2 linked regions of the Bombyx mori genome follow. The protein of the gene in region 1 purifies or fractionates together with the protein of each later gene. This does not show direct contact. Links are inferred from orthologs where the notes say so. Each region holds a gene or a part of one and is shown in the gene's direction. Other genes may lie near its edges. The genes, in order: enhancer of mRNA-decapping protein 4 and mRNA-decapping enzyme 1B.

Region 1 (3,875 bases):
GTAAAGCTGATGAATCATTGAAATGTTGATAAACAAAAAAACCAAGGTATCACTCAGGTGGCTCATTAAGGCATTATGGCAAAGACAGTACAAAGACCTAAAGAAAATTCCTGGACCTTTACTGTATATGGTCACATAATGTGTCACAAAAGATTTTTACAGAATTTACTTATTTTATTATTTATTTTGAGGTTTAATGTAATTAGAGATTTTTTTACAAATTATATCAATTCAGAGTATCATCAATAAACTTTTATTATTCATTATATGAATCATTACATTTTTTTTCTATAATCTAATTTCATCCAAGCATAATTTCAATTCATTTATCAGTTATAAGGAAAATAATAATAATTTGAAGCAAGGAAAACAGTATGATTTGAAAAACTGATCTATTATACTCAATTAAGAAATGGTATGTGAAAGTGTCGTAATTAAAAGTGTACTTGGTATTTGAGTTGGATTCTTCCATTATTATTATTGGTTGATTATTAGAATAAAAAATATACATATCTAAAATGTAGTGGACATAACATAATTCCATTTCAGTGTCTTTGTTAATTCTAATCTAAGCCTTGAGTTTAGTCATTTCGAAGATTTCATTGTGGTACTTTTTGAACTTGATCATAGTGACAAATAAGAATACTAACTGAAGCTGCCAACTGTTCCAAGACCCCGTCCAGCATATCGCATCCAAGTAGGAACGTCATCTTTCTGGGCATTGTCACCCCCCGGACGCGACATGAGCATCGATATCTTGTCCGTTAACGACTACAACATAAAAACAAGTCATAAGTTTACCTTTTGAAGATTTGTATAATAAATTTATAATTTATTTACGAATAAATATCCTCACCATTTTTGTGAAAATCAATTCAACCTGCCAATACCACCTGCGCTGTCAACGAAACCATAGATTATACACTTAATATATAACGAAACTGTTATCTCACACTCTGACACTGACAACATAGACTAATGCTGACAGTGACACAATGGAAGTGAATTATACAAAGCTCAAATAAACATTTGCATGTCCATTCGTGTGAGAAAATGAATTATAGCCGTTAGATGTGGCTTCTCGAGTTCTTTCAAAAGTCTACTGAAATTTCAGTGAGTCGCCATCCTTTTAATGCTACATTAATTCATTTTATCTCATTTCGTTTTACTCCATTGGGTTCATTCAAATACATTGCAACCTGATTACTGTTCCAGAAAATTCATTTCATTTCATTCTTCACACAACACAGTCTAACTTTATGTGTGTAAATAATAATATTATTCACAGTTAATACTAATAATAATGCTGTTCACAGTTAATCGAGAAGATAACAAGATAGGTAATAATTGAAGAAATGAAAGTGACAGTGATCCCTGGCAACACTGAAAACAATTGTCAATTCAACAATTTTTGCAATTTGTCAATGCACAGGTTCTGCGATTTGCGGTTTGCATTCTTCAAATCTGCATAATTTTTGCGATTACAGTATTAATTCAGTTTCTACTAAGGAATTCATGTGGAAAACTGAAAAATAGACGTAAAATGCAACCACCAACCATGTTACCTAAGCTTTCAGATACAACTCAGACGATGTGAGTAATCTAAAGTTGTAATGCTCTTATAATTTAATGCCTGCAGTATTGAAACAACGATGTTCTTGTATTTCATTAACTTTATAAGTATAAATGTCGATTACACACACAATTCACGTAATTATAACCTATAGCGGGATCGCGTCATGTTCTAAAATATTCTGGAAGTGTAAAAGTCGTCTCAGTCATTCTCTTAACATAGCTGGAGAGCATCTGATATTATTGGTTGATGAAACTCACATTTACTGAGTTCGGTTTAAAAGTGCAACTGACTGCAACTGCTTCCTCATCTGTTTCTATTGGACGCTACGGTGCCGCGATGCTATCGTCGCTGAATCTACAGCCCGTACCTTAATTTTGCTAACTATAGGTTTATTAATTTAATGCTAGTTACGAACATCAAACAATGAAAACAATACAAAATTCATCACTTCATAGTCAATAAAATATTTGAAAGTTTTGTAATTATTATCTTCAACTGGTATTCAATTAATATTAAATATGTATTATATATAATAATATAAATAATTAAGACCTATTTCTGGTGATACTACAGTGTCCTGGCTTCTTCAGGCTTACCTTGTTGATTGTGTAGCGGCACACCTATGTTGACAAAATAAAATTAAAATCTAAGAATAAAAATGTTTTAAATGAATATTGGCAAATCAAAGTTATAGAATCTATAACTTTAAATCTTCTAGAGCATTTGCTGAAGGAGATGGTATGAGCTGTATAGAAGTTTACTCTTCGGATGTGGTCGTGACTATCAACACCGGTAACCATGATCATGGTAGCTCAAAAGTGAAGTTGAAGAATCTTGTAGATTATAACTGGGAGCCCAAGTTTTATCCTGGGCAGCTTCTAGCCATTCACATCAGTGGAAAGTACCTGGCATACTCTATTAAAGGTAATTGCTTTGATCATGTTTGTTCTCCAGTAAAGCTTAGTTTTAAGATTACCAGATATTAATAGTCTGTGACATAATGTATTCTGTATTCCTGTTTACCTGGGGCATGTTCTGACATAACATGAATGTTTACATATTATGTAATTAATGTACTTAAATTTAATGAGTACCTTGATTGTGCAGTGTCTCTTTTGATTTGATATATCATAAAGAAGGACTAAGGAAAATAAGTAAGATTGGGTGGTAGCACTCTCTGAGTATCATACTAGCATGCTATGATCACCAACTGACATTTACTGATACAGCTTGTGGAGAACCTACAAAGATAACCAATGTCCTGCCTATTTCTGCCACAAATATATAATGAATAAGTCGCGTGTCTAGTTTTTTTTTTTTTTTTTTTTATTGCTTAGATGGGTGGACGAGCTCACAGCCCACGGGGTGTTAAGTGGTTACTGGAGCCCATGGACATCTACAACGTAAATGCGCCACCCACCTTGAGATATAAGTTCTAAGATCTCAGTATAGTTACAACGGCTGCCCCACCCTTCAAACCGAAACGCATTACTGCTTCACGGCAGAAATAGGCAGGGTGGTGGTACCTACCAGTACGGACTCACAAGAGGTCCTACCACCAGTGAAAAGCTCCCCTATAATACCACTTTTTTGATTATCAATCTGTCTGTTTGTTTAGTTTAGAAATGGCTAAAGCTATAATGATTATCAAACATTAATGTTACATGAATGAAGAATTTACCAATCTGTTATAATTGTACTATTTTTTTGTTTTTATTAAGAAATAATTTTTAATTACCAAATTATAATTTCATTTAATTTAAATTTCTTTCAACACAGTTTTGCTGTTTCTCAATTATTGTTGACCTCTTTTTATTCTTTAGAGGATCGTGTAGTATTTGTAAAACTGTAGATTGCACATGTAGGTTTACGACGAAAGGAAGATCTTTCACCCAGTGGGTGATATTGCAAAGTAGACAAACGATCCGAATGTTGTTGTTTGGAATTTGTATATATGCAAGCTTGTCTTGAATATGTCGTAAGCGAGGTACAGGCATCTGCAAAATATCTTGTGTTGTATGATGGCTACTGGCAGACCACACAGAACATTCAGGATTTTGTCCAGATTTTGTTTTTAAAAGCCAACTAATGTTTGGTTTTAAATTTTATTTACAGCTCCTAATACAGCTAACCCAGGTACTTGCAGTGGTATGGTTAGAGTTGTGTACAACCTTGAACCAGGAACTGATCGTCGTGCTCTCATCAAGGGAATGAAGGGGGAGGTACTTTTTCTAATTATCTTATTCTAGAATTGAATTTGAGGCAGCTTAGCAAATGGAGGGGAAGCGCGCTAGAGGAA
Region 2 (3,935 bases), on another chromosome or scaffold:
AAAATAATAGTATCTTACAATGGGAAAGGCTTGTTATTCATTTATTATATTCAGGGTAAGAACTGTAGCGCTAATTTGACGTATATTAGGTACTTCAAATTTTATTTTTATTTCTTTTATTAAGAACATTTAGTTCATTTAGCTAACACACTTGTTTACCAGACACGCGCATAGTTTCGAATGACGTTGACAAATTGACACTACAAATTGACATTTACTTGACATTTCGTTTGAACTTTGATGTTGATGGGGGCCATAGACATTTCGTTTGAACTTTGATGTTGATGGGGGCCATAGACCTATTGATGGGGGCATATAATGTATGTTAGATAGCATCAACCAAATAATAACTCTTTAACGATAATGGTTCTTCTTTAAATCGTGTCAGACTCTCACTCATAGAACAATTAACAGCATTTTAAAATAAGAATTTTTAAGCTGAATCGTCAAAAATCCCGTGCCGTTGAAAACCTCACGTCTGAGCCTTGGATCTGAAGATAAGGCATGGTGTTTCCTACCTGGTGTAAAGTTCTTAACGGGGCAGATAGACATCGTTTATGCATATTCAACAACATAAGTTCGCCGCCCATCTTGAGATATAAGTTCTAAGGTCTCAATATAGTTACAACGGCTGCCCCACCCTTCAAACCGAAACGCATTACTGCTTCCCGGCAGAAATAAGCAGGGCGGTGGTACCTACCCGTGCGGACTCACAAGAGGTCCTACCACCAGTAAAATTTTTATTAGACTTAGGTCAATACATACATATGTTGCTTGTGTTGATTCCATTAGCACGGGGTATACGTTCCATTAAAGTAAAGCGTAATATGAAAGAATAAAGATGCTATCTCATAATGTAAATGATGAGGTCGGGGGAAAATGGGCTGAAAATTGGTCAGGTATTTTACCATTAAATTCTCGTTTGCTCGTCTTGCTCATTTGCCTCTTAGTTGTTATAAAAAAAAAAAATGTTTTTCATAACAATAAAATAAATTATTTCTTGCAAGTATTGAAATGTGATAACGAATATATATTTAAAAATAAATAAAATTCTAAGTCAGCATGTTCACAATTCAGGTCATTCAATCTCTTCTAAATTTCCAATTTTTTCTCTTATGTGTAGGTCCTTAATGTTAAAGTTGCCAAATTACACAGCACCAATTTGAGATCTCGGAAAGTTTAACGCTGTATGCAATTTTGGGAAATTCTACAATTTAAGCAAACCAGCGTTAAGCAGGGTCTTATGCCGGCCACTCACATGCAGGCAAATATTCGTACATTGTACGAATGTTTGTGCGCATGTGAAGGGCCGTCAAACATTCATTCGCAAACTTAGCAGCTGTGCAAATGGGTTCGGTACTCAATTCGCGAACCCGTTTGCGCTTCCTCCTACACTTGTTTACGATTGTCTCACGAATTTCTCTTCCTTTTTAATTCGTCAATAGAACATTGAAGAGAAAAAGAGTTTTGAATTCTTTCCCAGACATCATTAACAGCCATGCTGTTTTTTATGGGATTTCTTTTGATGAAGATACGCTACACTGTAGACGTCACGAACTATGAAAATGGCGATACGTCCGTTACCTTCGCAATCGTCGGCGCAACTGGGCAAACGAATGTGTGGGAGACTACACGAAGGTTCGCGGTTCGCGCGCTTTGATGTCTGTTAAAAAACCGACACAGCTTGGAAAACCACGAATGTAGCGAAAACTTTGCTTAATCATTTGCAAATGTCGTCCTACACTTGCGGGTTTGCGTATTCGTGCGCATGTGAGTGACCGGTGTTACTGTACTAGGTTTGTTTTGTATCAAAGAGTAAATTAAAAGAAAAAACAAAGCAAAAGTATTATTTCAACAAATTTAAGACAATACCCACATTTTTAATAGAATTAAATATTTTGTTTGCTACCTGCATAATATAAAATATGTACATCCTGATTATGTATGTATACTAGTTTTAATTTTTCTATATTCTAGAATTCCTAGTTTTTGCGTACGAATAGTCTACCTGAATCATTAAAAATAATTAAATACATCCAGATTTCAAAACGTAACCAAAATGGCGAAACTGTTCGTTCTTGTCATTTTGCTGTGATGCTTGTTCGCTGATCAAAACTATTTTATTATTAGTAATATAAAAAATGGCTGACACCGGGTTACGTAGTATGAATTTCGCTGCATTAAAGCGGGCAGATCCATATGCTCGTGAAATTGTCGATAGTGCTACCCACGTTGCCCTTTACACATTTGAAGAGAACGAATGGGAGAAAACCAACATTGAGGGTGCTTTGTTTGTGTACAGTAGAAATGGTGAACCATACCACAGTTTAGTGATTATGAACAGGCTGAACACTAACAACCTAATAGAACCAGTGTCTAAAGGAATTGAACTACAGTTAAAGGAGCCGTTTTTACTATATCGTAACGCCAAGTGCCGCATTTACGGTATATGGTTTTATGATAAGGACGAGTGCGTGCGAGTGGCCACGAAGTTGAACACATTAGTGAAAGAGTCCATAAAACAGTCGCAAGGCGAAACCATGCCACAGAATTCAGTTTACAATTCGTCTACAACTTCAACTCAATCTATAGATATCTTCAGCATGTTGAGTAAAGCGCAAGACGATTTCAATTCTAATAAAGGTGTTGCTGGAAACAAATCCGAATCGACGCCGGCCAAAGCGCCTGACATGACGTCGCAAAGTGTAATGGATTTCTTTGCAAAGGCTGGGAGTGGAGCATCGGCTCAAATGCCTGCAGTGTCTTCATTGCCCTCACCAGGGATATTCGGTCCGCGTGCCACTGATTCCAGAGAAGTACCACAGCTTTTACAGAGGCTCATGAGTAACCCTGCACATTCAGTAGAACATATTGAGAAGCAACAGCGATCTGTTACTCCTCAAGAAGGGCAAAGCTCAAATGGTAATTCTACACTAGATTCTGGTATCAAACCAAATTGTATGTTCTCATTAAAGTCAACTCCTTTGGAGAAGCAAAATCAAAGGATACCAGGATTGAAAAAAGCTCTGGATAGTAGTGATGCTAATGGAATAGTCACCATGGAGAATGAACTCAATTTGATGCACTTATCTTCTCCCAAGACAACATCGCCATTAGCTGCATACTTGAATCAATCTCAAGACATAGGACACACGGTAAGTTCTTATTATGGTAGCAAAGTGGAGGATGTTGGACATTCTTATCCTAAGATTGACTCTGTAACTACTCAGCAGAAACCGGCGCTGATGCCCCCCACAATGTTCACTGCAAGTTCAGGTGGTGATGTCCAGCCATCACCGCAGCCACTCACCAGGAATCAACTCCTTCAGGCCTTTAATTACTTACTCAAACATGATGCAGATTTTGTGAATAAACTTCACGAAGCCTATGTCAAATCGTTTTCAGAAAAAGCATTTTCTGTGTCATAAGATAATCTTTTATGACTGTGGCTGATGTTGCCAGCCATTATTATGATGTACAGTTGTAATATGAAGCATAATCTCTTTAAAAATGTTGTGTAGAACTTGTTGTTTTTTAGTGACTTACCATTTGGACAGAGTATTTTAAATAAGTTTAAAAATATGCAAACCAGTTGTCACTTAATTTTATATAGTGGATGAATTTTAGTGACTCCAGATGAGTGATATTCAGTCAGGTCTTTAATGACACAAATGTTTGTGATATTTTTAGTTACAAGCTAATTGGCTTCAGCTTGATGTTCTGTAAAATCAAACTCATCCAACATCCAGTTACTGTTCTTACACATCCATCATACTTTTAATGTTCTTCTTATCACAAAAAAACGGACAATACATAACAAAGTATACACTTTTCTAAAATATATTAAATCTCGTAGAGATATTCAGCTTTACGTGTTGTTGCAATTGTAATTTTCAAAATATAAGAGACTTGCCAAGCTGCAACATTACTTGATA

The links.
Region 2: the proteins of enhancer of mRNA-decapping protein 4 (region 1) and mRNA-decapping enzyme 1B purify together in Drosophila melanogaster (affinity purification with western blotting; 4 studies listed by BioGRID). This does not show direct contact. The link is inferred for Bombyx mori from reciprocal best matches to the Drosophila melanogaster genes Ge-1 and DCP1.

What each region holds. Positions count from the first base shown.
Region 1 is NC_085110.1:1,251,589-1,255,463, forward strand, and holds the start of enhancer of mRNA-decapping protein 4, read left to right. Parts: upstream 1-997; 5' UTR 998-1,113; intron 1,114-1,316; 5' UTR 1,317-1,543; coding exon 1,544-1,593; intron 1,594-2,294; coding exon 2,295-2,500; intron 2,501-3,691; coding exon 3,692-3,798; intron 3,799-3,875. Other genes in the region: calcium channel flower, read right to left, coding at 651-771, 857-859. UniProt on the Drosophila melanogaster protein: In the process of mRNA degradation, seems to play a role in mRNA decapping. Required for silencing a subset of endogenous miRNA targets.
Region 2 is NC_085114.1:2,052,423-2,056,357, forward strand, and holds the start of mRNA-decapping enzyme 1B, read left to right. Parts: upstream 1-1,522; 5' UTR 1,523-2,141; coding exon 2,142-3,155; intron 3,156-3,230; coding exon 3,231-3,428; 3' UTR 3,429-3,935.